Callithrix jacchus: one gene and its partner. The protein of the gene in region 1 interacts with the protein of each later gene in a biochemical or structural test. Links are inferred from orthologs where the notes say so. Each region holds a gene or a part of one and is shown in the gene's direction. Other genes may lie near its edges.

Evidence for each region.
Region 2: the proteins of LCAT (region 1) and APOA1 form a complex in vitro, tested with the Homo sapiens proteins (6 studies listed by BioGRID and IntAct, with this or other methods). The link is inferred for Callithrix jacchus from reciprocal best matches to the Homo sapiens genes LCAT and APOA1.

The regions. Positions count from the first base shown.
Region 1 is NC_133521.1:25,473,919-25,478,170, reverse strand, and holds the start of LCAT (phosphatidylcholine-sterol acyltransferase), read left to right. Parts: upstream 1-1,417; 5' UTR 1,418-1,439; coding exon 1,440-1,593; intron 1,594-2,256; exon of another isoform or gene 2,257-2,284; coding exon 2,285-2,441; intron 2,442-2,518; coding exon 2,519-2,634; intron 2,635-2,728; coding exon 2,729-2,824; intron 2,825-2,904; coding exon 2,905-3,129; intron 3,130-4,252. Other genes in the region: SLC12A4 (solute carrier family 12 member 4), read left to right, coding at 19-203, 331-464, 613-704. UniProt on the Homo sapiens protein: Central enzyme in the extracellular metabolism of plasma lipoproteins.
Region 2 is NC_133511.1:16,472,829-16,477,130, reverse strand, and holds APOA1 (apolipoprotein A-I), read left to right. Parts: upstream 1-1,529; 5' UTR 1,530-1,703; exon of another isoform or gene 1,704-1,732; intron 1,733-1,957; 5' UTR 1,958-1,977; coding exon 1,978-2,020; intron 2,021-2,207; coding exon 2,208-2,364; intron 2,365-2,945; coding exon 2,946-3,537; 3' UTR 3,538-3,605; downstream 3,606-4,302. UniProt on the Homo sapiens protein: Participates in the reverse transport of cholesterol from tissues to the liver for excretion by promoting cholesterol efflux from tissues and by acting as a cofactor for the lecithin cholesterol acyltransferase (LCAT).

The DNA.
Region 1 (4,252 bases):
TCCTTTGATTATCACCAGGCCCAGCTGGTCAAGGACCGGCACTCGGCCCTGCGGCTGGAAGGCCTGTACTCGGATGAGGAAGATGAGTCTGCAATGGGGGCTGATAAGATCCAGATGACATGGACCAGGGACAAGTACATGACTGAGCCCTGGGACCCCAGCCACACCCCTGACAATTTCCGGGAGCTGGTGCATATTAAGCCGTAAGTGCAGCAAAAACAGACCCTGCTGCGCTGGAATCTAGGGGCAGAGGTGGGGTGGGGCAGACAAGTTGTGTTAGGTGGGCCAGGGCAGCTCATGGTGACCTGTGACTGGCTACACTACATGTAGGGACCAATCCAATGTACGGCGTATGCACACCGCTGTGAAGCTCAATGAAGTCATTGTCACGCGCTCCCACGATGCCCGCCTGGTTCTCCTAAACATGCCTGGCCCACCCAAGAACAGTGAAGGTGATGAAAACTGTATCCCTTTGTGGAGAGGCAGGCAGTGGGGAGGTAGACAGTGTGGGAGGTCAGACCGGCAGCTCCTCTACCAGGTGCCCCTGGGTGGGTGTGGTTGCCTGGTTGCCTCTTGGTCTTGGTGCTGCCTCCTTGACCCGAGGTCCTGCAGACATGGAGTTCCTCGAGGTGCTGACTGAGGGCCTTGAGCGGGTGCTGTTGGTGCGTGGTGGTGGCCGTGAAGTCATCACCATCTACTCCTGAGCCCAGTGTCGTCTTGTGGCCTGGAGTGGAGGTCGCGGCCGGGATATCACAAGCTGTGGTCTGGGGTAACAGCCTCCTCCCAGCACCCACCTGCCAGCTCTGCTTGCCTGGCCCTGTCCTGGACCCAGCTTTGCTAGGTCTCCTTGGAAACCAGGTCTGGGCCTCTAAATGGAGATGGAGCCGAGGTCTTGTGGGACCCTGGGAGGTTTGGGGACTTCACCATCTAGCACCCCAGTAGGCCTGTCCTGGCCAGAGAAGACTGGTGGGGGCCGAGTGGGGTTTGAAGGTAGCCGGCCCAGCCCAGCTCAGGAGCGCTATTTATTGCATATTTATTGTTTGGATGTCACCATCAGAGACGAAGGGAAGGGTAGCCAGGGAGGAGGTCCAGCCCAGCCGCCTGCAGGAAGATCTGGCTCAGTCTACTACTGGCAGGGCCCCCCACCAAGCTGAGCCGAATGGAAACAGCAAGCTGAGGCCTGACTTTTTCAATAAAACATTGTGTATTCTGGGCCTCCTGCTGCTCCCGCTCTGTTTCCCCTGGCGCCAAGAGAAGAAGGCGGGACTGATTTCAGGCCCATAGCCGGCCCCTGAGGCTGTGCCCCTTTCCGGCAATCTCTGGCCACCACTCCCACTGGCCAGGCTGTCCCTCCCACTGGCCCTAGGGCCCCTCCCACCCCCACACCACATAAGGCCAGCCCAGTGCTCCTTTCTCTGGCAGTAGGCACCAGGGCTGGAATGGGGCCGCCTGGCTCCCCATGGCAGTGGGTGCCGCTGCTGCTGGGGCTGCTGCTCCCTCCTGCCGCCCCCTTCTGGCTCTTCAATGTGCTCTTCCCCCCGCACACCACGCCCAAGGCTGAGCTCAGTAACCACACACGGCCTGTCATCCTCGGTAAGCCCCCGCCAGGCCCCTGATGCACCGCGCCAGCAGCCGACCCAGCCAAAGCCCTTCTGTCCTGTTTAAGCCCCAGTATCTGCCTCAGTGTGGGGAGGGGCCAAAAGCTTATCCAGTAGAGGAATGACCCTCCCCTTCTCCCCCAGTGCTTTGTCTCTCAGTTGCCTACCTCAGGGGGCAGAGTGGGGGATGGGGTGTGCCTGAGGTCTTGGCTGGGGCATCACAAGCTGTGGTCAGCCACAGCCACACCAGACTCTGGGCCAAGCCCCACCACTCCTTCCTTGGCCCCCACCCACCAAAGACAGGATGCCCAGCCTAGGGCCATCGAGCAGGAGAGGCCCATCCATGCCTGGCCTTGCTAGGCCCAGCCCCCACGCCCCCAGACCTATCTGTTCCCACCTTGGACTTTGGCAATAAAGGAGTGCCAGGATGGGTGTTTGCTCTGTAGAGGCAGGGGTCAGCGGCCTCGACCCCAACACCTTCCCTTCCTCAGGAAAGCCTGGGCTTTGGCTACTGGGGGGACAGCAGGGAGAGGGGATGTGAGCGGGGGAGGGTAAGTGTGCTTTGTACCTAGGGGTTGAGGGTGTGGGAGGTGGGGGGCAGATCTGGTCACTGCAGCATCTGGGGTGACTGGGGTAAGGGTCACGGGGGGGAATCCAGAGTCCAGAGTGAGGGCCGCTGCTCACAGTGCCCGGCTGCCTGGGGAATCAGCTAGAAGCCAAGCTGGACAAACCAGATGTGGTGAACTGGATGTGCTACCGCAAGACAGAGGACTTCTTCACCATCTGGCTGGATCTTAACATGTTCCTACCCCTCGGGGTAGACTGCTGGATCGATAACACCAGGTACAGCCACGTGCTCCACCCCAGCCCCCACATGCTGCCCCACAGCTACTGGCTGCTGAGTGGCACCCCGCCCCTAGGGTTGTCTACAACCGGAGCTCCGGGCTTGTGTCCAACGCCCCTGGTGTCCAGATCCGTGTCCCTGGCTTTGGCAAGACCTACTCTGTGGAGTATCTGGACAGCAGCAAGCTGGCAGGTGTGTGTCAGAGAGCAGGGCCGGGGCTCCAGGCCGGGGTGCTGGCCCGAAGCAGGCATGGCCCGAGCTCCCAGTGCTGCTGCCTCCCCCACAGGGTACCTGCACACGCTGGTACAGAACCTGGTCAACAATGGCTACGTGCGGGACGAGACTGTGCGTGCTGCCCCCTATGACTGGCGGCTGGAGCCTGGTGAGTCTCTGCCGAGGACAGGCTTGGGGCTGGACAGGTGGCCCCACCCCAGCTGCCCTGACCCCTTTCACCCACTTCAGGCCAGCAGGAGGAGTACTACCACAAGCTCGCGGGGCTGGTGGAGGAGATGCACGCTGCCTATGGGAAGCCTGTCTTCCTCATCGGTCACAGCCTCGGCTGCCTACACTTGCTCTATTTCCTGCTGCGCCAGCCCCAGGCCTGGAAGGACCGCTTCATTGATGGCTTCATCTCTCTTGGGGCTCCCTGGGGTGGCTCCATCAAACCCATGCTGGTCTTGGCCTCAGGTGAGAGGGCCTTGATCACTTAGGCCCAAAGAGGGGAGGGTGGTAAGACGAAGCTGATCCTGGGCCTGCCTTCACTGCGGCTCCTGCTTACAGTGGCCTCTGGGGGTGTTGTCTACCACCCCTGGACCAGCAAGCTTGCTGTCACTGGCCCCCAGAGCAGTGACCCTGGCCTGAGCAATTAGGGTGGCTCCTTCCAGAGTCTGTGTCAGTGATGGCAAAGGGGCAGTGAACACTGGAAAGAAAACCCCAGCTCGCTGCCCCCAGGTTTGTTCCTTGTAGCCCCAGAACCTGCCTAACTGGCCCTTGCCTGCCTTCCATTTGCATGAATGCCTTTGCCCAGGGATGTGCTTTACTAGGGATGGATCTGCCAGAGCTAGCGCCAGACCCTCAGAGCCCCGCCTGCCCTTCCCTAGGGAGTGGCACCAGGGCCCAGCACTGACAGCTACCACCTACTCCCTACCCGCTGTACCCTGGGAGCTGGCTCACAGTCTGAAGAGAGAAACACTCATCAGACACCACCAATAAACATCAAATAGACACCATCTCGTTTCCCCCTTCCTGGACCACAACTCTGTGACCCCCATTGCAGCACAAGCCACACAAATAGCAGACAGACACATGTCCAAGGGAGAACAGGTAGCACACCCCCAGCATCGACATACCCCCTACCATCCCCACACCCCCCAGCATCCCCATACCCTCCACCATCCCCACACCCCCCAGCATCCCCACACCCCAGTCCTCAGGAAGCCCCACCTGCCTTTTTTTTTTTTAAGACAGGGTCTCAGCCGGGCACAGTGGCTCCCGCCTGTAATCCCAGCACTTTGGGAGGCTGAGGCGGGTGGATCACAAGGTCAAAAGATCGAGACCATCCTGGTCAACATGGTGAAACCCCATCTCTACTAAAAATACAAAAAATTAGCTGGGCATGGTGGCGCGTGCCTGTAATCCCAGCTACTCAGGAGGCTGAGGCAGGAGAATTGCCTGAACCCAGGAGGCGGAGGTTGCGGTGAGCCGAGATCGCACCATTGCACTCCAGCCTGGGTAACAACAGCGAACCTCTGTCTAAAAAAAAAAAAAAGACATGGGTCTCTCTCTGACACCCAGGCTGGAGTGCAGTGGC
Region 2 (4,302 bases), on another chromosome or scaffold:
CCACCCCATCTCAAGGTCCTTAATCACACTGGCAAAATCATTTTTTGCCATGGAAGGTAGCAAAGTCACAGGTTCCAGGGATGAGGAATCTTCAGGGATGTTATCCACACAGTAACCCGGCCATAACTCAGGGCGATGGCATGTTCTATCATTATCTTCAATCAGGAACTATGTGTGAGGAGGTTACATAGCATAACTCATCCAGGGTCAAACAGCTAATAAGTGGCAGAGCTGGGAATCAAATCTAAGGTTTTCTGGCTCCAGAATCTTCTCTGAAATAAAAGGCATGAGGCCGACCACTCCCCGATCTGGTAAACAGAGACGTCAGGCTGGTTTCTAGAGTTTCCCGGGCTGAAGGTGCAGGGTACATTTCTGCCATGTGTCCTAAGTCCAGAGACCGGGTTCTAGGTCCAGCCTTTCTTCTAACTCCCTGAGAGATGAGAGCCTTTGGGCAAAGTCCCTTCATGCTCTTCAGTCTCTTCATCTGTGAGACGGTGGTGTTGGGAGAGGCTGGAGTGATCTCACAGTTCCTCTCAGCCTGCATCACAGGCTCTAGGACTCAGGTTCTGTCAGTAACCTGCTGTGGGAGGTCTGGGCCTTCCCGGAGAAACCTTACAAGATGGTGCTGCAAACACCAACGGATGCATTCACAGGCTGTCTCGGGGGCCTCTGACAACTCTGACCATTCTTGCCCCATTTTGCAGATAGGAAACTGAGGCTCAGAGAGATTACATAACTTGCCCACTGTCTTCCTCCAGCAAGATGGAGGCCGAGTAAAACGGGAAAGCAGGTCTCCGGCCACTTCCTTGCCCAGGGGTCTTCTTCCCACACCAGGGCTTCCAAGGGCTAGGATATCGTCTCACCTGTGTATCATCAAATGTGTGAACAATGCAAAGGAAGGCGTCTTCACTCTAAGGGACTTCAACTCTGCAATGTTATTCTGAGGTTATGCCCCCCCCTTTTTTTTTTTTTTTTTTTTGCTAAAGTCTTTCCTTTTTGAAGTGATGGTCATGGTAGACATGAGGGTTTTTGGAGGCAGACGATATCTTTACATGACAAAATTAAAAGTTGGCAGCTCTGGATTGGTCTCTATTGTGTTTTGAAAGGCAAGAGGTCTCTGAAACCTCAGTCTGGGTACCACAGAGCCCTCTCCCCTCTCCCCAGGTTTACCAATTTGGGGGACTTGGAGAGAGGCCTGCAGGACCTGCTGGGGACCAAAGAAGCACAGTGGTGGGAGGAAGGGGTGGGGGAAGAGGGGTGGGAGTGATGTAGTCTCCCTGGAATGCAGGATGGTGGGGGAGGAGGTCTCCTGGGTGGAGGAGTCCCAGCGTCCCTCCCCTCCCCTCTGCCAGCACAATGGACAATGGCAACCGCCCACACACTCCCATGGAGGGGAAGGGGATGAGTGCAGGGAACCCCGACCCCACCCTGGAGACCTGCAAGCCTGCAGCCACTCCCCTCCCGCCCCCACTGAACCCTTGACCCCTGCCCTGCAGCCCTGCAGCTCGGCAGCTCGCTGTTTGCCCACTGTATTTGCCCTTCCCCAGGGACAGAGCTGATCCTTGAACTCTTGAGTTCCACATCGCCAGGACCAGTGAGCAGCAGCAGGGCCCAGGCTGGGCTTATCTGTCTCCCTGCCCAGCCCCTGGCTGCAGACATAAATAGGCCCTGCGAGAGCTGGCTACTTAGTCTTCCAGAAGAAGGTGAGTGTTTCTGCCTGCCCAAGAAGGAGGTGAGTGCTGCTGCCTGTCCCGGGTGACTCTGGCTACCCAGCTCGAGGCGAGGCATCGAGGTTCAGGCTCTGCCCCAAGCCAGGCTTCTGGGAACCTGAGGTCTTCTCCCACTCTGTGCACATTCTCCTCACCTGGCTGTAATGAGTGGGGGGAGCAGGGGGCTTCAGCATGCTAGAGACACACCCCTCCTGCCGCCACTCAGCCAGGCCCTTCTTCTCCTCCAGGTCCCCCACAGCCCTTCAGGATGAAAGCTGCGGTGCTGACCTTGGCCATGCTCTTCCTGACGGGTAGGTGTCCCCCAGCCTAGGGAACCAACCATTGGGGGGCTTTCTCCCTAAACCCCTTTGGCTCACCCTCCTGGGCAGAGGCAGCAGGTTTCTCACTGGCCCCCTCTCTCCCATCTCCAAGCCTGGCCTTTTGGCTCAGATCCCAGCCCACAGTTGGCCTGATCTGAGTCTCCCCTCCCACCCTCAGGGAGCCAGGCTCGTCATTTCTGGCAGCAAGATGAACCTCCCCAGAGCCCCTGGGATCGAGTGAAGGACCTGGCCACTGTGTACGTGGATTCAGTCAAAGAGAGCGGCAAAGACTATGTGTCCCAGTTTGAAAGCTCCATGTTGGGAAAACAGCTAAAGTAAGGACCCAGCCTGGGGTTGAGGGCAGGGGCAGGGGGCAGAGGCCTGTGGGAAGATGTTGAATCCAGACTGGTGAGTCCTCACCTACTATCTGACGAGCTGGGCCCCACAAATGGTCTGGATGCAGAGACCGGAATGGGAGCCCCGGGCAGAGTCACAGCCCATGCCCCCTGCAAAGGTCAGACCAGGGCTGCCTGATCTGTGGTAACAACGCCAGCTTGTGCCTACAAGTGCAGCAGCCCCCTTGCCCTTCGTCACCTCCTCTGCTCCTGCCCAGCAAAAGTGTGGGCTGTCTTGGGAGAGGAGAATATGCTGGAGGCAGAGAGGTGAGGTCCTTCAAGGGCCCATTTTGGAGACCAGAGAACTGGGCACCAGTCCCAGCTCTGTCTCTTTCTTAGCTCCTCTCTGTGCCTCGGTCCAGCTGCACAACGGGGCATGGCAGGGCAGGGCAGAGGTGTTGCTTGAGAGTGTTGAAACTCTAGGCCACTGCACCTTCGCGGACAGGTGTCGCCCAGGACTCACCCCGGGTTGGTTGGGGCGCTGGGAGGCCAGCCCTCAACCACTGTGTTTCCCCGTCCAGCCTGAAGCTCCTGGACAACTGGGACAGCTTGACCTCCACTGTCAACAAGCTGCGCGAACAGCTCGGCCCGGTGACCCAGGAGTTCTGGGAAAACCTGGAAAAGGAGACAGAGGTGCTGAGGCAGGAGATGAGCAAGGACCTGGAGGAGGTGAAGGCCCAGGTGCAGCCCTACCTGGACGACTTCGAGAAGAAGTGGGAGGAGGAGATGAAACTCTATTCCCAGAAGTTAGAACCGCTGCGCACGGAGCTCCAGGAGGGCGCGCTCCAGAAGCTGCAGGATCTGCAGGAGAAGCTGAGCTCGCTGGGAGAGCAGGTGCGCGACCGCGCACGCGTCCACGTGGACACGCTGCGCACACAACTGGCACCCTACAGCGACAAGCTGCGCCAGCGCTTGGCCACGCGCCTCGAGGCGCTCAAGGAGAGCGGCGGCGCCAGCCTGGCCGAGTACCACGCCAAGGCCAGCGAGCATCTGAGCACACTCGGCGAGAAGGCCAAGCCCCTGCTCGAGGACCTTCGCCAAGGCCTGCTGCCCGTGCTGGAGAGCTTCAAGGCCAGCTTCCTGAGCGCGCTCGAGGAGTACACCAAGAGCTGAGCTCCCAGTGAGGCGCCAGCCGCCGCTCTCCTTCCCGGTGCTCAGAATAAACGTTTCCAAAGTGGGAAGCAGCTTCTTTCTTTTGGGAGAATAAAGGGGGCGGGGGGGGGCGGGACATCGGGGGAGCCCGGGTGGGGCCTTTGGCCCTGGCCCAAGGACTTCCAGCCGGATCTCAACAACTCCGTGCCCAGACCGAGCCTCTTAGGGCCAAGATGGATGCTGGAGGACCTGCTGGAGGCCTGGCTGCTTGTGAGGGAGGGAGTAGAGTCTGCCTTAGCAAGGCTCAAGTAGACAGGAAGTCACAGCGGACCACCAAAGCCACAGACAATCCAAGGCCAAATGTCCTGAAAGAGGATCAAACGAGGCCTACATCCCTGTCCGAGACAGGCCAGGAAACAGGGTTACTTTACCTGGGGGCAGTGGGGTTCCCAGTCCCCAGAGGTGTTCCCACACAGAGCCGCTTTCAGAGGGGTGGGGGCAGAGCGGCCTCAGGGAGCAACTGGGACAGAGGTTAGGCCAGGTACAGCGAAGTGCTTGGAGTTTGCGCCTATACTCCTTTATTAATTCAAAAACCTGTCAAGCAGACAATTCCCTTTTCACAATCTCCCTCCCACTCCTCCCATCCCACCTAGCAATAGCCACAGCATCCTCAGGCACAGCAGTGGAAGCCAGCCCCCCGCCCCCTGCGGCCCCATGCGGTGCCACCCGGTCTTTCTGCTAGCTCTGACAGAAGCTGACCTGGGTCAGAAAAATCACCACCACCTC